Tamandua tetradactyla: one gene and its partner. The protein of the gene in region 2 purifies or fractionates together with the protein of the main gene of each other region. This does not show direct contact. Links are inferred from orthologs where the notes say so. Each region holds a gene or a part of one and is shown on either strand. Other genes may lie near its edges. The genes, in order: UBE3D and DNAAF2.

Region 1 (12,275 bases), on a different chromosome or scaffold from region 2:
AAAAAACCCCACAAAGACAATCAAGAGTGGAATGGCCTAGTAAATTGGGTTGATTACGATAATACACTCTCAGCACTCATAAAAACCATTATGACTATCTTAAGGCAGAAAAATGTTTAAGTGACATCAAATAAAAATTGAAAATAGTGTGCATGAATAATGATTGGTATTTAAAAAATATAACATGCACATGAACAGATCTGGAGGTAATTTGGGGCACTTATACAAAAAGGTAGAGTTTTAATGTTTATGGGACTATTTGTGGTAAAGTGCTTAAAATTGCAATAAAAATATAAACATATGCCTCTAATGAGATCATAAGAAAAAAATAAACAAATGAAGCCATCCTACAAAGACAACCACAGTCCCAGATGGTTTCTCTTGTAAATTCTATCAAATATCTAGGAAAAAAATAATATAGAAGGAAACACATCCCAATTTTGTCTCATGAGGACAACAGAACCCTGAAACTAAAACCTGATAAAAGATATAACAAGAACTAAAACTACAGACCAATATCTCTCATGAATATAGATACAAAAATTCTAACAAGATATAAAACATATAAATATTTAGGATAGCATGCCATGATCAAGTGAGGTCTATTTCAGAAAAGCAAAATTAATTTAACATTCAAATATCAAACAGTATAATTCACCATATGCAGCAGTCCAGGGCTTGGGCCCTCTCCTAAATGGCCCTTAACAAATCTGCTTCGGCCAAGGACAAAGGTCAAAAAGTAAACAAGGGAGAAGAATGTAACCACGGATGTAAAACGGCATTGACTGCACCTTAGTTTTAAACAGTAATCTTGGTAAAACATCAGGTTATGGGCCCCTTTGACGACTACACTAGAAACCAAAAGTCCTTACACTATATGGAATGATTTGGTTCTAATAAATATTCTCCTTGTACTCCCCCGTACCTTACGGAAGGCTAAATGTCCAGAGGGCCGCCAGTGGAGAACTCCTGTTCCTAAGCCCCAGTAAACCTATGTGGGGTGTCTGTGCTCTGTGCCTACTGTGTTTTTCAGTTTCGAAGCAGCCCCCACTCCATGCTCTCCATAAACTGGATCTAGGTAGGAACACCATACTAAGAGAAAAAAGTAGAAAAACCATGCCATCGTCTCAACAGGCACGGTAAAAACTTTGACCAAAGTCAACACCTATTTATGATAAAAATTCTCAGACAATTAGGAATGAAGAACTTTCTCTACCATCAAAAAGGCAACTAAAAACAAAAACAAAAACACCTACAGCTAACATCAGACTTAATGGTGAAACACTGAAAGTGTTTTCCTCAGATCAGCATGTATGATCTTACAACTTCCACTGAACTCTTAACTCCAAGCCCCAGTGTAACAAGGAAAAGAAAAATAACAGTTATGTGGACTGGAAAGAAGTAAAATGTTTTTTTTTTTTTAATAGAAAATGTGACTGGGCTCATTTTTAAAAACGTACAAAATACTAAAATTAATAATAAGTCTTTAGCAAGTTGGCAGGATACATGTCAATATGCAAAAATTAACTGTGTTTCTAAACAGCAGCAAAGGGTAAATGGAAAATGAAATTAAAAGAAAACCATTTACAATGGCATAAAAAGTCACATACTCGAAATCAATCTAATGAAAAATGTACAATTTCTCTACACTGAAAACCTGCAGAGAGAAACTGAAGACCTAAATAAATGCAGAGTTTTACCATGTTCATGGATTAGAAAACTCAATGTTGTTGACAAGGTGATTATTCTAGAATGTTTGTATAGAATCAATACCATCCCAGTCAAAATTCTAGCAAGCATTTTTTTTTGGTAGACACTGACAAGCTGATTCTTAAATCTATATGGAAATGCAAAGGATCTAAAATAGTTAAAAATAATCTTAACAAAGAACAAAGTTAGAATACTCATACTACCTGATTTCAAGCCTTCCTCAAAGTTACATTAATCAAGACAGCGTTATCCTGGCTTAAGGATAGACAAAAGATCAAAGGAACAACTGGCACTGTGGGACCAACAATTCCATCCTGACCAAAAGGGGGAAAAGAAGTGTAATTAATAAAGTATCAGTGGCAGAGAGAGTTCAAATAGAGTTGAGAGGCTACTCTGGAGGTTGCTTTTACATAAGCTTCAGCTAGACTTTGCTGCCTATCATAACCTGCCAACCCCCAACTAGGACCATTCCAGCCAATCCTAAAGAACACCTAGGGCAATATATAAGATTTCCTAAGTGTTCCAGGCACTAGAGTAAGTTTCCAGAAACCTACAACCTCCAGATGGGTCCCTGAACCTGGCCCAGCCTCTCCAGAACATCAGATAGTTCCATTTCCCTGTCCCCTATTAATGACAGACCCTTCCAATATGAAAACTTTAGAATTGCCTAGCCCAAACAACCCTAAAGAGAGGGATGGAAAGATCAAAGGTGATGGTGGAGTTATACATAGAAGACAGGATTTAGCAAATAAATATGAATGCTGAATCATTAAATTGACATCTCTTTTGGTCTCTGGTATTTTAGAGCAGCTAGAAGTAAAAACCTAAAATTCTGAAATTGTAATCCATGTCACAGTTTGAAATATGTTCCACAACTAATTGGGGTGCTGTACTTTGAAATTTATAGTTTTTTGTATATATATATATGTTATTTTTCACAAAAAAAAGTCGATTGTGATGATAAAAAAAAATTTAAGCCCTCTAGCCTCCTATATTCTGGAGCGGCTAGAAGGAAAAATGAGAGGATCATATGGTAGCCCATGACAAACTCTGGGATCAGTCCTGTAACCACTTGTTGAAGAGTGCTTTGAAAACCATTGCTTTTTTATTTCTTTGCTTTGTATATATGTTATACTATACAATAAAAAAATGTTTAAAACAAAAGATCAAGGGAACAGACTAAGAAAATCAAGAAATAGACCCACACGTAGTCAACTGATTTCTGATTAAAACACTAAATTTTTCAAAAATTTCTTTAACTAAAGGTCATGAAACAGCTGGGTATACTTATAAAAAAAAACTTTATGATGTCTACCTCATTTCAAACATAAAAGTTAATTTAATATGGATTACAATCCTAAATGTCAAAGTTAAAACTATATAACTCCTAGTGAGAAAAAAAATGGAAAAAAAAATCATCATAACCTTCAAAGATTTTTTAGAACACAAAAAGACACTAACCAGAAAATTAAAAAAAAAAAAGATAAAGCACATTTAACTAAAACTGAAATTTTCTATTCATCAAAAGCAATATTAAGAAAATTAAAAGGCAAGCTAGAGATTGGAGAAAATACAAGGTATATATCTGAGAAGGATTTTATTTACAGATTATATATAAAACTCTTTCAATTCAATAAAAATATTTTTTAATGGCAAAAAAAAAATGTGAACAAACCCTTTACAAAAGAACATATACAAAAGGCCAAAAACAAATGAAAAGGTACTCAACATTACTAAGCATCAGGAAAATGCAAATTAAAACCACAAAATATGATTTTATATCCACTAGAATGGCTAAAATAAAAGACTGACAAAATTAAATGTAGGCAAGAATGTGAACTAAGTGGAACTAATTTTTTTCTGATGAGAATTTTCATTTCTTCAGTGTACCACTTTCAAGCACTAACTGGCAATTTCTTATAAAGTAAAATCCACATCTGTCTTATAGCATGGCAATTCTATTCTTATGTATCTACCTGGGAAATGAAAATGTATGTCCACAAAAAGACTTGACAAGAAAGTTTATGGCAGCTTTGTTTATTAAGCAAACTGGAAACAGTGAAAATATCCAGCAACAGGAGAATGGATAAACTGTGTTATATACACACAACATTTTTCTTACTCAGTAAGAAAAAAGAATGAACTACTGATAAATGCAACACACAGGAAACATGAATTTCAAATACATTACGTTGAAGGAAAGAAGTCAGACACACACACAACATACTACATGAATCCACTTATGTACAAGGACAGGCAAAATTTGTGTTTGCAGAATCAGAACACTGGTTGCTTCTGGTGTGGGGGGAACTGACTGGTAATAAATACCAAAAGCCAAAGACCACCAGAGACAAACCAGTAGTCCAGCAAAGTTAAATTTATTAACTTGTTTAAACAAGGGAAAGTATTTCAGCGAAACCATGAAGGTTCCTAATAAGAGGAAGTAGGGAGTGATTTTTGTTAAGATTTCGGCTCAGGCTGATTAATGTGAGTGTGAATAAGACAAACTGGGATCAGCACTGGATTCACTGCTCTCTGGAAAGTAATCACTGTCATCAGTAATCACTGTTTCAGAGTCGAGAACAAGAAAAGGATGGTTCGGAGTTCACTGGTAAGTAACAAGTCAAAAGAAGAGGTTGTTATGACATTTGACAGCTGAGGTTTCACCTTGGTAGAAGCATCGTTTATTATTAACCCTGCAGCTGGTCTTATCAGTTATCACAGTATGGTTAGCAGGGTTTTTTACACTCACTGAAAAGGGACACCAGAAAACTTTTTGAAGTGAAAGAGTTATTGTCTTGTTAGGGTTGTGCTTGTATAGCTCTCTGCATTACAAAAAACTCATCAAACTGAATATTTAAAATCTGTGTGTTTTATTGTATATAAATTGACACAACAACAACAAAAATCACCACCTGCAAAAATAAGAACCTCTTAATAATAAAAGTGTGTAACGTATGTGAAAATACATACAGCTCAGAGGATCCCTAGGCTTCAGAAGGGTATGGTTTGGGGCAAGTGAACTCAGACTTACAGAGGAGGAAAAGAGATGGAAAAAGAGGAAGTGTGTAGTACTCTGTAATACTGTCTAGGATGTTGGTGGCTGGATAATAAGTGATAATATTTATTGCATTCCATTATAGCAAGTATTAAGGCACACCTCAATTAACCTGTAGATATTGGGCACAGTCACTGCTTCCAGTACCTGGTTGGGAGGGATCTGGAAGTCAGCAAATTTACACAGAATTTCCTTTTCTGTAGCTGAAACTCAGGACTTAAAGTGATCTGAAATATAAAGCCATCTACATTTCTATGGCGGCTTAAATTTTACATTATCTTTTTTGAGGTTTCCATCATCGCTACAAGGTAGACTGGAATTGAAGAAATTTGTGTGAACTCATGATTTTCGGTACAGTAATAAATAAATATCCCCATTTTACAACTTAAGAAATTAAGAGTAAATGATTCTACCCTTGTGAGAAAGCTAAGATTTGAACCACGTTCTCATGCCAAATCCAAAGCTGCCACGCCAGAGGTAAGAATATGTGGAAGAGCTAAGGATCCATCTGCCTCTGAGTGGCGCTGTGTAATAAAATGAAATTTTCAGAATTTTCCATCTAACTTACTGTTTCTAAAACTGCGGTCACAAAAGAATAGGCGAGGGCACCACTTACTATCAAAACTGCTTCCAAACAAAGAATATTTTTCCTAAAAGTTTCTTATTTGTGTAGTAAATAACGACTTCTTATGAATATGAATAAAAGAATGAGTTCCAATAAGAAGACTGCAACTTTTGTTAGTCGTTCACTGAACACACATTTATGTGAACTTCTCTGCAATCGGTTTTGGAAAAAATTTTTTTAGAAAGACGAAGTGTTTACAAAACAGGAAGCTCACTCATCGAAGTTGGTCCTATAACCAGGATAGAGTTAGACAAGGCAATTTTTTTGCCTTGTTTTGTTGGAAACGTCGGTCATTGCCAGGAGTATTTTGTGTAACTGCTCCTCAAACTTTAATGCGCATACCAATCCGTAGAATACTGTTGAAACGAGGACTCTGATTCTGGAGGTCTGGTGTGTGGCTGAGACTCTACACTTCTAAAAAACGCTCCCTGGTGATGTCCCGAGGCTGCCAGTTCCGGGACCGCACTGTGAAAAGCTACTCCACTTTGAGTAACCACAGGCTCACAAATGGGAAGAAACTCAAAATCCTAGGGAGGAGGACGACCCCCCAGCGAGTAGCAGAAAAAAAGCTGCCTGGGCGCCGCGCCCGCATGCCCACGCTCCGCCCCTTGCTTACCCTAGGATCAGCAGCGCGCTCTGCAGTCTTCTCCGCACCTCGAGGAACGTGCGCGTCTTCGCCGCCCCCTCCATGGCGGGCGCCCACTTCCCGGTAGGATCCAGGCGGAGCCTCTGACAAACCTGCAGCACAGGAACCACGCACGTGCGGCTGGTGCAAAAGCAGGCGTAGGAGGAGCAGCCCGGCCAGAGACCGAGGCCGGCACGGCCCACAGCGCCACCTGCTGGACGGAGAGCGCGCGGCCGTGGGGGCCCTGCACCACTCGCGCGTGCGTGTTTTAAAAACACGGCTTTGACCTGGTGTGCTGAGAAAGGTAGACGCGCAGAAGCAGGCTGTCCTCTGGCATCGCTTCTCGTCCCACGTGCCCTGCCTCGTCAGCCTCCTTGGAAATTACGACAAAAATTAGACTGGGGGTACACTCCTTTGGCTAGCTAGGATAAGGGATGGGGCACTAAAAGGGGATGATAGAAGTGGGCGATACAGGAGGACGCCGAATCCGGGAGGCCCGACAGCAGAATTCCCCACGCCAAACCCGCTTTATCGTGATTTCTTGTTTATGATCTAGGGTCGTTCGGTAGCTTCCCTCTGTCTGAGGCAACAAATATCAAGGACTAACATTTCTTCTCAACTTAGAAATGATCTCTGCAAAACTGAAGCCGTTTCTGGTTTTTTTTTTTTTTTTTAATCTTTTTGCAGGGTAAATAGCTTATCTGTTATCTATGCAAAAGAGACTGTGGTTCAAGTCCAGTATGTTGAATCATTTAAACCTTGAAAAAGAGAAAGGTGGGGGTGATCTCATATGTGCTTCTCCACTATCCATTTTTTCAGAAGTTAAAACTGACTCAAGTCATAAATACTACATTATTATATTAGAAGATAATTTTGGAAATTTTGACACAACGAAGTGTCTAGTATAACAGGGAAATATGAAAGTATAAGTTCACAGTAGAATTAGAATAGGACTTCTTTTAAAACTAGAGGCTATTAGTTTAAAAAAATAAAAGCAACCGTGGCCAGCACACAAAAAAATCCTATGCTTGCTCCTGTTCTTTCCTATTCCAAGGGTAATTACCACATACCAAAAATATTAATTTGAACCATTTTCAAATAAGTAAATAAATCCACTTCTCTAAAGATACTCGCCTGAGAACGTTTTTCTAAAATCAGTATTTGGGAGTTTTAAAGTTATTCTGCTGCTGCACAGATTTGTGTATCCTTTACAGTATTTTAAAATCATGGATCGAGATAAACCTCAAAACAATTGAATTTACTGATCATTTCAACCCCTAACATCATCCACATTTAAGTTCCAAGGATATTAGGCTCTTAAAAATTGGCATTTTATATTGAAATATATAACAATTGTAGCACAGCATGTTCCTCATAATCGATCTTTGAATATTGTTAAATAATTTTCTATTTTATGCATAGTCACGTATCCGTAAAACCTTTTCATCATTTTTTTTACCCTAAAGTTTAGGCAAAACTGTGGAATATCCTTGACGTAACGTGATATGATTGAGAGAGTTCTAGACTCAAAATAGTTCCAAATCTGATAATTATTTGTCTCCTGATTTCATAAGTTCCCTAATCCCTCTGGGCCTCAAGTTCCTCGTAAGAAACGTATTCATTTCCTAGTAGCCCTTCAAACTCTCCATCAAGACGGCTCTGGTGATGGCAGGCTGAGAACACCTACTATAAACCCCTCAACCCTATCACTTCCGCTGTTGGTCACCAAGAGTCCGCTAGAGGGCACTGTGGAGACAATCACAGCTGGGAGGCGAGGAGCGACCAGGGGGTGGGGATGTAGAGCCTTCGACGTCGACGCCGGCGTGAGCGCGGTGCACTTTGGGAGCTGTCACCAGGCCCTTCGGCTTTCGGCCCTGGTGTCGCTGGCGCGGTTGCCAGGAGAGCGGCCCCGGCGGGGAACGGCAGACCCCACAGCAGGTAACAGCGTCCCCGCCCCCAAAGCGGTCGCGAGGCTGGTTGGCGGCCCTGGGCGGCCTCCTCAGCCCTGCTCGCTCCGGAGCTGCGGGGATGCGCCGCCTGTGCTTTTGTGGCGGCGCGGGTATCGCGGCCCCAGCTTCGCCTGTAGCGGCGAAGCCGGCCGCACTCTGGGTTTCGGGGAGGCGAGAATTGCTGGGGGACCGTCGTTGTGGCACCTGGCGGAGGCGCGCGGGCAGTCTGGGCAAGGTTTGCGGGAGGCGTGGCCGAGGTGTCCCGTGGCTTGACCGAAACCTCAGGCGCTGGGGCTGGGCAGGATGCGGGGTTGGGGTGTGGGTCGCACCTGTACAGTAAAGGCGTGCAGAGTAGCGTCTTTGTTGGCGAAATCAGGGTATCGTGTCATCTCATTCATCTGGTGGGTTTTCTTAGTATTGAGGAGACAGGAATGCCAGCCATGGTTGATGTTCACGTGTGCAGGTTAGAAAGGAGTGCCGAAGTTTATTAAGAGGAAGTTATTTTATTCAGACGGAAGTTAATCACTTTTGATTCCCAACCTTTTAAAAGTTGCAACATAACAATAGTTATTTGTTCGGTTTCCCGCATTCTTTTCTCCTACCCTGAAGAGAAAAGTTGCCATCAACTGTACTTTTTAAAAACTAAGTCGTGTTTTGATTATTCTTAACTCTTAGAATTCCATGGAGTTTGGGAAATAAAAAGGTTGAGAAAATCTGACTTAGAAACTGCAGTTAAAACAATTTTTTTCATCACAAAAATAAAGAAAATTAAATGTTTGCCTTACAAGCCTTGAACTATAGACAGATCTCTCAATTTTAATACTGTTGCCTATCTTCTATGCAAATATAAGCTCTTGTATTTTAATTTTATATATAGATATTAATGTGGCTTACTTTTGAGGTCAGTCTGTGGATAACATGTCAACATTTTGTGCCAAGTAAAGTCATTGAACAGTGATTTAGTTGCACTCACGAAAGTTATAACATGAGTTAATTAAACCACATGCAGTACAAATGCTTTAATTTATTACTTTCAGCAACCACTCTAAATCATTCCCCAGAATTACTAAACAATAAGCAAATCTCCAGATGGACGTGATTTTGAGAGACCTAAGTCTGGTAGATAGATCACACAAAACATCTGACACCATAACCAATATGTTAAATGGAAATTAAATGTTGTCATTGAACAATCAAAGGAGTCCTATTTTGTAGTTATAATAGTGGAAAGAACTTTGGGCTGGGAATGAGACTTAGGGTCAGGTTCGTTGTTCTGCAGTTAATCAGGTGTGGTCTCTCTAGGCCTCAGTTTGTCTCTTTAAGGAAGTTTGACAAGATCAAAGTTTTCTAACCTATATTCCCCTGAATGTTGTTCTCAAGCTATTAATAGATTTACTGCCCCCAAACAGTGTTCCATGGCAAATAATGTGGAAGCACACTGGGTTAAACCAAGCTTAACTTTTGATTTTCTTTTAACTGTCCTACTCCTCAGAGCCTTTACTATGCTTATATGCAATGTAAATTTCCAGGAGAAGGTTATCACAGCATTTCCTGGCCAAAGAGAGCCTATTTCTCATGGGCAGCCTGTTACTGTCCCCTAGAAGGTAATTATGTAGAAATTAACTTGAAATTTGAAAATTTCATCAAGTTGAAAATTGCTATACTTGAGTCCCCTTTCAGCTCTAAAATCCCATGAATTCTGTTTATTATTGTTTTGTTTTTCCATGCATTGTGTATTAAATACAAAAAGTTATTGATTTTAGTTTTCAGTTTAAGCTTTCTGGAGCATGGTGATAGAGTGATAATCCTCACTGGAATAAGCCAAGGGTTTATATTTTTCTTACTAAATATTAATACTAAGGATGTTCATAGGTCTTTATGCTTTATGACAGAAGAGTATCTTCTTTTTTGGTGTCCCAGTGCTTTTCTTTAACATGTTTTCTTTTTATTCATGTTTGAACTTGATTTTACAGTCAAGTTACTGATTTTACGGTCAAGTTACTGATTTTATTCAGGATGGCATTTTAAGGTTCCAATAAGTAGAAAGTTGTTGATAATGGTATTATTTTACTATGAATGGTTTGCCCTTCTAGTCATGAATTCTTACAAGTATGAAATGTGACAGAAACCACCTGATATGTACTTAAGAACCAAATTTTTTAACAGCTTAGATAATGGAAATGGTCAAGGTAAAATATAAATTCTGAAATAGTTATTTCTTCATTGATTACAAACAAATCCAAGTATTGAATATGATCTAGTAGTCATGCATTTGTTTTGCTAAATTTGGTGATGTGTCACTTTCATACAACCAGTGTTGATGCTTCTGTCTATTCTTTATTGCTTTCTTAATGGTGAGTGTTATTAATGAGCTCTTGTTACTTTGTTAGATATGAATGCTATTAATGCAGTTGTGGGGAGATAGGGAGAAACAGAACATTTCATTTAAATAAATAAGCCTTAATTCAGGTAGGTTCTCTCCCTGAAATAAAACTGTTTAGTACAAGTATAGAACTAGTATTTTTTCTGTTATAGTTAACAGTTTGTAATGAAAATTCATTACATGAAAATAAATACTTATGTTTCCCTTTTTCTCTTTATTGTACTCATTCTGCAGCTACCACCACCCCCACCAAGCTATCCAGGCCTGAAACCTCAATGATCTTTGATCTATTCTTGCTTAAGTCAGATATTGTATCAACTTATTAAGGTAAAAGTTATATGCAATAATGTGCACCTACTTTAAGTTACTTTTCAGTGAATTTTAACACATATATACACATTCATGTAGCCACCACCTCAGTTAAGGTATGTAGGGCGGGCCACGGTGGCTTAGCAGGCAGGAATGCTTGCCTGCCATGCCAGAGGACCTGGGTTCGATTCCCGGTGCCTGCCCATGTAAAAAAAAAAAAAAGATATGGAACATGTTCATTACTCAGGCATATATTGTTATGCTTTTGCTTTTTTAGAATGCTCTCCCTGTCTCTGTCTGAATTATACCTGTCTTTCAAATGCTGTCTCAAATGCCACTGTCTGTGAATCCCTTCTAGATGACCTCATTCTGAAGTAATTTCCTTTTCTTTTGATTATCCCAGTAACATTTTTTGAACATCCTTCTCTGTCTTACACAATGCCTAAACCACTGGCATGCGCATAGTAGGCATTCGTATTTATTTGTTGACCACATGAATTAGTGCAATATTTCTCAAATTTCTGTCATTCTTATATCCTCTTCAAAATTTGACCATGTCTGCATACTTATTTTCTAAATATTTCCTTAAATCAATGTGACTGTTTTCTTTAAAGTATTTTTAAGAGAAACGTGAAATAACCACTATAAATAAAAAGCAGTTATCACTTTTCATAAATAAAAGGTTGGCATAAAAATAAAATAATGAAAACAAATGGTCTTCATTATTGCCTGCTAAAGACTCTAAGCCTAGAACTTGTTACTCTTTTTTTTTTAAAAGGTATTACAAAGAATTATCCACGTTTTGATAACATTCTGGCATCAAACTGAGGCTTTCTTCTTGGTATAAAGAAATTGACACATCAGACATCAGATTGTATCTTCACTATAAAATAAAGCAGTAGTATAGAAGCACATCAGATAAATTGTCATTATATAGAAGTGACAACTGACTGTAGTAAGAAAAACTTTAAAAGCACAGCAGTTTTAGTCCTTTGAGTAATACAGATAAATAGTCTTATGCTTTTAAGTTGCATTTAATTGTGCAGTGCATAGTAGAAAGTCCCCAGGAAGGAGGTGTGAATATGAGTTTGGGGGATGATAGAGGAGACAAGTGAGTCTTCCCAAAGGGGTTAAAAATCTGAGACCTGAAGAATGAATTGGTACTAGCTAAGTCAAATTGGGATTTTGTGTTTTAGGCAAAGGAAGTAAATGGTTGGGTCTAAGAAATTACTTCATATGTTTAGAAATATGAACTATACTGTAATATAAGCCATGTTTCTGAATATTGATAAATGTACTGATTAAAGAATGAGTCAAGTCAGGTGGGTTATACTGATTAAAGAATGAGCCTAGTCAGAGGGGTTGAATCAGAGAATATTTCATGGAATTAAAACTCATTTTGAGTTTAATTTTGATAGAAGAATTTCAGATAATAGAAAGGAGAAGGGGCTTCGCCAGAGAAGGAATAGTATTTATAAAGGCACTGAGATGGGAGGGAGCAAATCTTGAACAGTTGACTGTGACTAAGTTTTGGTTAGCTGGAACAGAAATGTGAATAAGATAGAATGAATGGATCCACTTTAAGACTAATCATATGGTTAAGAGTTTGAATTTCA
Region 2 (11,998 bases):
ATGTTAATGTTATTCCCACACTGTCTCGACAAAAGAAAACTGAATTATTTTAGAGAATGGTAAGAACAGCAAGACGACAAACATATATACATAGGGAAAACCTAGAAGAAAAAGCCTTCATTTCTTTTCTAGCTCTCTGTTAAATCTAAAGTATGTTTTCTCTCTTAGATAATACTTACAGATATTTTTCTTTCCTCTTAATATTTCATAAGAGTAACATTACCTTAAAGCTGTAAATGCAGTTCCAGTTATAAAATGTAATTCAGTTTTAGAACACTTCCTAATGAGTCAGCTAAGAAATATACATGCCAGAATCTATTCAAATTTGGGGTGACCAGTTTACTTTTCAAGTCTTAATTGGCTAAGAGCCAAGTTTAATCTTTTATTTAAAAGAAATATATTCTGTCTTTAAGTACTGAGATTCTCTAGTGTGCTACTAGTATAGAGCTAATAAGGGTGAGGAAGGCCTCACAGCACTGACACGGAAAGATTTATATACTGCTATTAGGAAATGTAAAAATCACTCAACAGGATCCCAAACACAAAGCAGTTTGTTCATATTCATGTCAGATGAATATAGATATGGGAGGAATAACCATATTTAGAATTACTTAATTCATAAAACCAGTCCGTTGTTGCCCATAATAAAAGTACTTTCACCTCCAAAATACACACAGCTCATTATTTGGTCCAAAAATGAAAGAAAAATCAGATACAAGTTTCAAGCTCCCTTCTATGAGAATTTAATACATCTGCTATTTCATCATTAAGCAGCTAATGAATATACTTTATTAAGTTTTGTGATAAGACATCCCAAGGCAACCGAACTGCATAGTGTTTTTCATTTATCCTTTGAATAGCTAATGTTAAATTAGCAAAATTCCCACTGTTAAATATTTAAATCATTTTGGTTCTTTATTGTGTCAGAGAATCATCTGTGTTTTTTCAAAATTGCTTATATTGGGGGTAAAGAACTGCTCCTAAATTGTTCTTTATATTACTTAGTGTATTCCCTTCCTTAAGGGAACTAGCCCTACAACTTCTAAAGCAGGGTGTCTGTCCAATTAGCCACTAAAAATTACATGAAAAATGTTGGGTGTATAGGGCACTTATGTGGATAGAGTGTCATTCTATAGCTTTCATAAAATTTTCAAATTTTGGGTCATAAACCCCAAAAAAGCTCAAGAATCACTTCACCGTAGAATATTGGGCAATTCTGCGTGTCAGCCTCCTTAATCTACAAAATGAGCCAACTGGACTAGGATAACTTCAAGGAGTCTAACCAGTTCTAACATTCTCTGCATCACTGAGCTCAGTGCCTTGAAACTTTGAATCCTAAATCAACTGATCCCACACTCATGGCATAACTAAAAAATAACATTATAAGATGAAGTAGAAGTTAGGCTGTTGTAGTTAGATTCAGTTGTCAACTTGGCCAGGTGAAGGTACCTAGTTCTGCTGCTGTGGACATAAGCCAATGGCATGTGACCCTCATCTGTTGCTGATTACACCTGCAGTCAGCTAGGAGGCGTGCCTGCCGCAATGAATGATGTTTGATTTAATTGGCTGGTGCTTAAATGAGAGACTCAACACAGCACAGCCCAAGCAGCTCAGCACACCTCATCTCAGCAATCACAGCTCAGCCCAGGCCTTTGGAGATGCAGAAAGGAATCACCCCGGGGAAAGTTGTTGGAACCCAGAGGTCTGGAGAGAAGGCCAGCAGAGATCACCCTGTGCCTTCCCACGTAAGGAAGAGCCTCAGTTGAAAGTTAGCTGCCTTTCCTCTGAAGAACTAATGAAATAAATCCCCTTTTATTAAAAGCCAATCCGTCTCTGGTGTGTTGCATTCCTGCAGCTAGCAAACTAGAACATAGGCCATATTTACATTATGTAAAACTGAAAATGGAAGCTGTGTATCTTTTCTCTCATACAGATATGAAATCTCTATTAGGAATAAAGGCTGGTTATTATTATTGTTTCTAAGAAAAGAACCAAATTTCACTTTCATCAAATTGAATTGAAAATATCACACTTGACACTTTTCATTCGATTTACAATTTCTAAAGTGTACCCATATTACGCATTCTAGACTATATTTTTACCCAACATTATAGATACTATGCCTTTATATGATTTAAGACCTCAAAATAATTCTTCAGTGGGAATATACCATGATCCCAGTGAGCAGCCCAGCTTAGGAGTTAGCACAGTGGGAAATCAGATGAAAATACATCGTTCAGAATTCTCTTCACCGCTTGCCCATAAAGTTTTCTTCCCACAAACACTGTGAATTATTTTCACAACTATTAAAACAATTACAGGAAGATGACTGCCGTTTAATAAATTTCCCCCTTCTAATGACATAAACAGATATGCAATCTCATCATATTCACACAAAATACCTTACCTAATGTTGACTATTTTTATTGTTTTGGGGGATTTCAAATTAACCACTTCTCACCAAAGACAGTCAATTTGTAAAATCTATATATAACTTACTGGCAAACATCTAGAAAAACAAATAGTGAAAATTTCTGACAGGCTAAAAAGACCAAGGTCAACTACTTAATTTTTAATATATAATCTGCGTAACTAGTACTGCTTCTGGGAATTTGACACTTGAATATGTTAAAAGAACTAAAAAAGTTACATGTAAGGTTGATACATACCACTATCAAAATCACAAATTTATGAATTCAAAGAATTCTTTAGAACTTCAAATTTTAAGTGATTTTCAGTCATTTGCCAATAACATGGTGGAGTGGTGATTCTGAAATGCAGGAACCTCAATAATCTTAACAAGCATAGCAGGACTACAAAAGCACATGTTGAATTATTCCTCAGAATTATATCCAAGTTAACTGGGCCGCATCCAGTTTTCCAGCGCTGGCCAGGGGAGCTGCGGCTGATACACGTGCTGCTTAGCTCAACATACGTTCACTGACACTTGGCTAAGCGCCAGGCGTTGTGCTACATACCAGGGGCCCGGAGGTGGTCCCAACTGGGCAGTGGTCATTTCAGCGCCCTACCGTCACCACCAGACGACAGCCCCGCCTGCCTCTGGGACAAAGTCGCGCAGCACCGTAGGGCGGGTAAGGCAGGATATGTGAGCCACAACTGCCTCCAAATTCATATTCCCAGTAAGAACTGTGCGCAAATGACTTGGTCTTTGGAAGTAAATTTACTTTTTTAAGATTAAAAAAAGCGATTTGCCAACTTAAAATATGGCCATTAGGGAGTGGTTCTCAAATTTATTTGGGTCACAAACGCTTTTGAGAACATGATGAAAGTTAAAGCCCCTCTCCCCCCCAAAAAGCACCCTGATTTTTTTTTTTTACATTTAATTTCAGAAATTCTCCGATTCCTGGGAACCCATTCGTGTCCTTCTTACTACTCTTGCATTACGGGCAACTTCGAAGATTTGAAACCCATTCACCAGAGGAGAAGCGTGGACGCTTCTTTTCTTCAAAATACAGAGAGAGCGTTTTAAGCGCACGGGCATCTTTCATCAGTTCCAATCCACTATCAATTTCAAGCCATTACAAGAGACACGCTAACGGAAAGCACTTTGTTTAGCATAAATGGAGAGGGTGTCTGTAATCAACTTCGCAAAAGGGACGGAACATTTCACAAGTAGAAAGCTCTAGCAAGAAACGTTACCTCCAGAGAATCCTTGTTTAGACCGTAATACCACTCTCTCCAAATCCCAGGGCTTTCTGGAGATTTGGACAGTTCGATCACTGCATTGTTTGAAGAGATGCTAATCACGGGTTCCCTGACGCTCAGTTTATTCTCCGGAGCAAATTGCAAAAAGAAAGAATAGTCAGCTCCGGCCTGCGTGGAGAAGCCCAGCCTGTACCGCCGGGGGCTCACTTCCCCCCGCAGACTGTCCGCCTGGATCCCAGGCACCGGGATGAGGAGAGTCAGAGAGCCTTCGTCCTGGCGGCACTGCAGAGGGGGGCGCAGAGGCGCCCCGCGCTGCGTCCCCGGGCTCGCCGTGGCCCCGGCCGACGGCTCCCTGCCGGTTCCCTCCGGGTCCACGCGCGCCTCCGCGCGCACAGCCCCGCGCTCACCGGCGGTGGCGGCGGAAGACCCCGGGCCAACCCCCGCACGTGAAGGACGCGAGGAGTCCCCGCGGCCGCCCCCACCAGCGCCGCCCGCGGCGGGAGGCGGCTCCTCCCCCGCGCCCAGGGCCGACCCCGCGCGCCCGCCGGAATCCTGCTCCTCCGCGGCGCCTGCAGCCGCCGCCTCGCCAGCACCTGTGCCCGCGCGGCCCGCGCACCCCTTGGCAGGGCCCGCCTCCCCGGCGCCGGCGGAAGCGCAGGCCGTGCCGTCAGTTCCGGGCGCGCACGCCGCCTCCTCCCGGGCCGCCGCCGGCCCCCAGCGCGCGGGCGGACGCACCACGGGCAGCGTGACGACCAGCTGCCGCCGGGCCGTGTGGAAGCGCGCTGTGCCGCGGCTCTCATCCACCGCGTAGGGGAGCGGGAGCCGCAGCCGGTAGTCGGGCCTCCGCGAGTCGAGGCTCAGCAGCTTCCCCGCCACCTCCAGCGCCGCCTGCTCGGCCGAGCGCAGCAGCGGCAGCTCGATGGTGACCACCAGCTCGCGGGGCACCGGGCTCGGGGCCGAGTCGCGGGAGCAGCGGTAATCCTGAAGGTCCACGTGGTGCCGCTGCACCACGCTGCAGCGGGGCTCGGTGGGGCCGGGCCGCGGGGCCTCCTCCGGGGCGGGGCGCGTTTGGGGCCGGGGGGCTGCGGCGCTGCCCGGGGCCGCCGGAGCCGGGTACGGGTAGGGGAAGTCCGGGAGAAGGCCCTCGGGCTCTCGGTCGGGCCGGGTCGGGGCGCCCCCGGGCAGGGGCGTGCGGAGCACGGCGGCCTCCGGGCTCCCCTTGTACTTGGCCTTCAGCACCTTGGCGTTCGTGCGGTCCAGCGTCACGCCGAACTGCTTCTCCACCGCGCCCAGCGCCGTGGCGTCCAGCATCTGGCGGAAGCGCGTGCAGCGCCGGGCCAGCGCCAGGGCGGCGGGGTGGAAGACTACATCGTAGACGGTGTAGCGGCCGCCGCGGCGCCCCGCGTACTCGCGGCCCGGCGCCAGGCTGTGCGGCAGCGACCAGAGGCGGCCGGGCGCTGCGCCCTCGGGCCCGGGCTGGCTGCGGGGTGCGCCCACCAGCGCGTTGCCGCACACGTTGACGAAACAGCGGCGCACCCCGTCCAGGCTGGTGCGCAGCGCGTGGTCCGGCTCGGGGTGCACGAAGCGCACCTCCACCCCGCGCTCCCGCTCCAGCGCCGTGACCTCCGCCTCGTAGCGCCGCCGGTTCTCGGGGTCGGTGAGCTCCGCGGCGTACTCGGAGAACAGCCGCCGGAACTCCGCGTCCTGGAAGGCGGAGGTGAGCCGCTGCACTTCGTCCGCGCTCAGGTCCAGGTCCTCCAGCGGCGAGGGCGCCCGCGCCTTGGCCATGCTGCCCCGCAGCCCCTCACCCTCTGGCCGAGCAGGGCGAATCGGGGTCCCGGGCACGGAGTGTGGGGCGGCCGCGGTCCCTAACGGCCGGAGACTCGAGCCCTGGGCCGCGCGAGCCCGTTGCTATGGTGACGCCGCAACCCCCACCCCACCCCCACCCCCACCCCGGGAGGAGGGCGCGAGGCCCGGCAGCCAGTGGGCCACGGTGCGGTTGCTCGTGCGGAGGAGCCGTTACGTTCACGGCCGTCGTGCCCAGCGCGATATGGGTTCCCAGGCGGTGCTTGTAACCCTGCAGGTGGGACCCATAGCGTGGAGAAGGAGCTGGGACCTGGCGTCACGCAGCGTATTCACAGGCTGCAACTCGATCCATTGTGTTCTACTTTGCCAAGGCAACGTTTTCTTCTTTATTTTCTCCTTTCCATTTGCCCTGTAAAAGAACTCATCTGGGGTGAGAAATATGAACACGCTATTCCTAAACACATACTAAAGACCTATAAACATACAAAGCTATCACTTCGTTAGTGATAAAAATGCAAATAAGATAACACATATCACCTACCAAAATGGCAAAAATATGTATTCAGAATATAGTGCTTCCCTGAGTGGGCTCAATATTTAATAAAATTTCTAGAGAGTAGTTGAACAGTTTGTATCAAACTGCATACTTTTTGACCCGGCAGTTCCAGGTGTAAGGGAATAATTGAGTTGAAATGCAAAGACCTAGTGCGTGTTTACAGCAACGCCGTTTGTTCTAAAGGCTGGTGAAGAAGACAGTACAACACTGGCTTTGTTGAGCCAATTTTGGCAGAGCATGTAGTGGAATTCTAAATAGCCATTCAAAGTGGTGTCAGAAATTTACTGACTGAGTTATTTATTGATTGGTAGTTGTTAAACTCCGGGTCTTTTTTTTACTTTCATTTCTTTAAGTGGCATTTAATACAGTAGAAGTTGGTGTTAGCTCCGTGACAAGACACGTTACAGATTTCTCTCCATGGCATCAGACCCTCCAAAGGCCACTTTGGGGCTTAAAATATCCCAAAACAGAACCCTTGATTGTTCTCCTTTCCCAGACCTCTAGGCCTCATCTTTTTTTTTTTTTAATTAAAAAAAAATTTTTTTAAAATATGAAAACAAAGAAACAAACATTCTTAACATATGATCATTCCATTCTACATACATAATCAGTAATTCACAATATCATCACATAGTTGCATATTCATCATCATGATCATTTCTTAGAACATTTGCATCAATTCAGAAAAAGAAAAAGACAACAGAAAAAAATTCATGCATACCATGCACCTTACCCCTCCCTTTCATTGATTGCTAGCATTTCAATCTAACCTTATTTTAACGTTTGTTCCCCCATTATGTATTTTTATGCTGTATGTTTTACTCGCCTGTTGATAAGGTAGATAAAAGGAACATCAGACACAAGGTTTTCACAATCACACAGACACATTGTGAAAGCTATATCATTAGTCAATCATCTTCAAGAAGCATGGCCACTGAAACATAGCTCTGCATTTTTCCCTCCAGCCTCTCCATTACATCTTGACTAACAAGATGATATCTATTTAATGCATAAGAGTAACCTCCAGGATAACCTCTCAACAGTGTTTGGAATCTCTCAGCCATTGACACTTTATTTTGTCTGATTTTGCTCTTCCCCCTTTTGGTTGAGAAGGTTTTCTCAATCCCTTGATGCTGAGTCTCAGCTCATTCTAGGATTTCTGTCCCATGTTGCCAGGAAGGTCCACACCCCTGGTAGTCATGTCCCAAGTAGACAGGGGGAGGGTGGTGAGTTTGCCTGTTGTGTTGGCTGGAGAGAGAGGCCACATCTGAGCAACAGAAGAGGTTCTCTGTGACTCTTAGGCCTAATTTTAAGTAGCCTTGACCTATCCTTTGTGGGGTTAAGTTTCATATGAACAAACCCCAAGATTGGGGGCTCAGTCTAGGCCTCATCGTAAGGGTCTCTTGGCAACATTCAGAACAGTTGACTGAAGCACATTTTTCTCTTTTGTTACCAGACAAGGGTGGTGGATTCCCTGACAGATGTGCTCAGTGACCAATCCCTGAGACACAGGGGTTTCCCAAGACGGAGCTTATTGCTAGGTGCGAAGCAGATCACGTGGCCTCTCAGTCCAAAAATCTGTCTCTGGGAGCTGCGGATGGCTTTATATTTCCAAAAGATGGGCAGGTCTTAGGGCAGTGAGCACAGTGGCCCTAGATGATGTAATTAGAGGTGCTTTAATCGAGCATGCGCAGATTGGCTACATGCTTAGTCACAGAACGTATGTAAGAAAAATGACAGCCATAATATGATAATTGATATGATGGTTTTAGTATTATAATGAGGTACTGTGACTTGTAGGTTAAAGTCTAAGCTACTGTGCATGTCAGGCGGGCCCATACCTGTAAGATCCAGCTTTAGTTATCAAGATAACTTTGAACTTGGGGTGGCTTAGTTTTGAGCTGAATATAGCAACAGGCACACGCAGCCCAAGGGCTCAATTCTCAGACCATTGCCAATGCCTTAAACATCTCCATGGCCTTAGAACTGTAAACTTGTAACCTAACAAATCCCCATTGAAAAAGCCAGCCCATTTCTGGTATATTGCACTCCAGCAGCTTTAGCAAAACCCAAAATGCTACCCAAATTCCCAATAGTAGTAGAATGGATAAATAAATGTTGTAAATGTATGTAACACACTGTCATACAGCAACAATGTGAGTTAATATTGCTAACATAAATTGAATAAAAACCAATTTATTCAACCAAGTGCAAAATAATACATTTCATTTGATTCTATTATATGATAGGCAAAGCAAAGTTCACTCTAAGTCGTGTTGGCGATTTCCCTTCTGCCAGGCAGTGCGTGTGTTAGCACACCTGGCTTCTGGTTTCCTTCTGGCTCCTCATATTCGCTCTCTGCCTCACACTGAGTGATTTCAGCTGTCACCGTCAAGTTCTAATTCTTTCTTCTGCCAGCCCGTCTGCTTTTGAACCCTTCCTGAGACTTTTCTTTCCTATTACTGCCGTCTTCAGCTCTGTTAGGTTCCTACTGATAATTTCCATCTCATTTGCTCTTGTTTGTGTTCATCTGTCATTTTCCTGATTTCCCTAAGTTCTTTGTTCATACTTTCCCTTAGCTCTTTGAGAGTATGTAGGACCATTTTCTAAAACATTATTTATTGTGACATACATATAAAAAAATTTTTTTCAAAGTACACGTAACAAGTTATGGAAAAGATCTCAGGGTTTGGTATGGCTTTCTGTTCCACAGCGTGAGGTTTGCCTTCTAGCTGTTCCAAAACCCTGGAGACTAAAAGATCAGTATACTCATTTTGTAGGACCGTTTTTTTAAAGTCTTTGTCTGGTATGTACCAGGTCTTGTTCTTGTCATTGATAGCTTCCAGTGCTTTAATTTTCTGCACTGCCTGGGCCATTGCTTCCTGTTCCTTTGCGTGCTTTGTAATCTTTTGTTGAAAACTGGACATTTTGATATTTTAATGTATCATCACTGGAATTTAGGCTCTAAGGCATCTGTTCTTTATCCTTGTACCAAGCTACTGTTATGACAGAACTTTTGTTGAATGCCAGGAACTAATCAAAATAAAAAGGAAGGAAAAGAAAACACCTTTCCTAATCTTTGAAACTAAATTTTCACTAGCACTAGAAACTATCAACGACAAGAACAAGACCTGGTACATACCAGACAAAGACTTTCAAAAACGGTCCTACAAAATGAGTATGTTGATCTTTTAGTCTCCAGGGTTTTGGAACAGCTAGAAGGCAAACCTCACATTGACCCCTGTGAATGCTCTCCTTCAGGGTTTCTCCTACAGGCCAAACTGTAGGCCTCCTTGACCTTTCCTGCATATGCCTCTTATCTTAGACATGCCCTAGGAATTTTATACCCTTTACACCTTCTTCCCTAGGAAACATCCCGCATGTGTCCAGGCACTGTATTGTTATGTCCTACAGCCAGTGACTCCTTGCTTCAGGCAGCACGGCTTGACTTCTCTCCTACTGTGTTCCTTCAGAGAGCTCTGTGAACTGTCTTTTACGTACAAGGCAATTTCTGGGACATCAAGTCTCCCAGGCCTCGGTCCACCACGAGACAGATTGGGCCAGGCATATGCTCCCAGTATGTGCACATGAGCAACTCTGCTCCCTCCAGAAGGAGTGCGTGGGCTGGGTGTGTGCCCATACGATGGGCTGGCTCCAGACAGCTGGTACAGGATGGGGACTGGGCCAGCCTGGGCGCCCCGAGCTCCTGCCGATTTTACACAGCCTTGTCTTGATTCTGCATTTGCCCTGTGGCTGATGGAATTTTTATCAGGATTGCGTTGAATCTGTGAATAATTTTGGGTAGTATTGACATCGTAACAATATCAAGTTTTCCAGCTTAATTGGAAGACCTTTATTTAGGTCTTCTTTAATTTCAACAGTGTTTTGTAGTTTTTGGTATACAAGTGTCTTATAATACTGATGGCCAGAACTGCTCATACATACTGCCTTGCTTCATTTCATTTCATATTGTCAGCCCTAAATGCACCCTGTAGTCTAATCATTAACTATGTTCCTGAAATGATTTCAGAATGCATTTAGCTTTAATTATAAAAGCAGTTATTTGTTAAATGGAAGAGTGGATGAACACCTAGCATCCAAATTCCACTTAAACCTTTCTACCCATCTTCATATTTAGCTCTGTAGTTCTCATAATTAACGTAAGACCAACACTTCACTATATTTTCAAGACCCAAATTGTCATTTTTCCCAAGCATTCTAGTGGCTTTAAACCTATCCCTTGTTTGTTTGTTTTTTTTTTTGGCTTTTAAAAAGGAATTTAATAAGTTGCAAGTTCACAGTTTTTAGGCTGTGGAAATGTCCCAATTAAAGCAAGTCTATAGAAATGTCCAATCTAAGGCATCCAGGGAAAGAAGCTATCTTGATTCAAGAAAGCCAGTGAAGTTCAGGGTTTCTCTCTCAAGTGGAAGGGCACATGGCGAACACAGAGTTTTTCTCTCGCTGGTCGGGCATGTGGGGAACACAGCAGCATCTGCTAGGTTCCTCTCCAGCTCCCTGGGAGGCATTTTCCTTCTTCATCTCCAAAAGTCGCTGACCGATAGACGCTCTGCTTCGTGGTTCTGCGGCGTTCTCTGGTGTGGCTTTCTCATGACTGTCATTCTCTGCTCTCTCTGAATCTCCTTTTCTCCAACATATTTCCCCTTTTATAGGATTCCAGGAAACTAATCAAGACCCACCTGGAATGGGTGCAGACACATCTCCACCTAATCCAGTTTAACAACCACTCTTGATTGAGTCACATCTCCACGGTCTGCTCTCCTGGCCCGAGGCCTCTTGACTTCAGACTTTAGCCTTCATAGTTCTGCCTCTGAAGTTATTTTTCCTCCAGTGCGCCCCTTCTCTGTCCCTCTCGGTCCCGACTGGCAGTGGTTCTCGTTATACAGATTCTGCAACACTCTCGTTGGCTTTCTATGCAGTAGCCTTGAATCATGCCCATCAGATATCCTGGCTAACTCCAGGTTCAGTCCTGGCTTTCTCTGAAATAGGTGACTGGTTCCACATTTGGCCATATCCTCACATGGGGCACTATTCTCTGGGGTCTCCCTTCCTGGAAGTCCATATCCTTTGATTTTTATAATTAAACTTCAATTTTTCCAGGCTATTTTTGAAACTAAAGCTAAACCCTACTCTTCTAGTGTCAGGCCCCTTCTAACATTCTCCCCAACTATTCAATCCTCAGACTGCATCTCAAATCACCATTTTTTCCTTAATGCTAAGTACTTAACACTGCATTCAATTTAAATTTCACTGAGGCTCTTCCCCTTCACTATGTCATTTTCATTTTTTTATTAGTATTCCTTCCAAAAAAGCTAATCCTATTTGAAAGAAATGTATTCTACTTCAGGCTTTTTTTTAAGTTTTAACATTACACCTATATTTGAAACATCTTTTGTACTTCTAACAAATTTCTGTCATTCATATTCATTTCTGGGCTCTCTTTCCATCAACTCCATAAACTAAATGATAAATAAAAGGAGTTGTTGAGTGATTATACATAAAACAGCAAAATGTACTGCTTCAAAATAAACATGTATTTTAAGCATAAAATTATGGGTACTGTATATCTTTAACTTTCCAATATTAAAGCCTTCAGGTGATCATGTAATGAACATTAAACTAATAACCTCAAGCAAAGGCTTGCACTCATTAGAATAAATTCTGTTGCTTTGAAATTTAAACAATTTGAAAAGCTGAATATACTGTTCTTATGGTAATAAAATTCTAAGACTAAAACAATGATTCACAAAATTTTGAGTAATTGTGTTTTCCTTAAAATGAACAGAGTATAGTATGACTGCTATGAAGATAACTGTAATTTTTAAGTGCAAATGTATAGCAGATTTTATCCTTACATATATCTCATATTTTTCTTAAAAGAGTATGTAGATGTATGTAGTGGAGACGCTTAGCCAACCTATAAGTATGCTTAAGAGTTACTTCTGGAGGACC

What was found.
Region 1: the proteins of DNAAF2 (region 2) and UBE3D purify together in Homo sapiens (affinity purification with mass spectrometry; 4 studies listed by BioGRID and IntAct, counting the BioPlex papers as one, with this or other methods). This does not show direct contact. The link is inferred for Tamandua tetradactyla from reciprocal best matches to the Homo sapiens genes DNAAF2 and UBE3D.

Annotation. Positions count from the first base shown.
Region 1 is NC_135331.1:139,839,857-139,852,131, forward strand, and holds the start of UBE3D (E3 ubiquitin-protein ligase E3D), read right to left. Parts: upstream 6,172-12,275; 5' UTR 6,084-6,171; coding exon 6,010-6,083; intron 1-6,009. UniProt on the Homo sapiens protein: E3 ubiquitin-protein ligase which accepts ubiquitin from specific E2 ubiquitin-conjugating enzymes, and transfers it to substrates, generally promoting their degradation by the proteasome.
Region 2 is NC_135340.1:3,069,250-3,081,247, reverse strand, and holds the start of DNAAF2 (protein kintoun), read right to left. Parts: upstream 5,566-11,998; 5' UTR 5,455-5,565; coding exon 3,661-5,454; intron 1-3,660. UniProt on the Homo sapiens protein: Required for cytoplasmic pre-assembly of axonemal dyneins, thereby playing a central role in motility in cilia and flagella.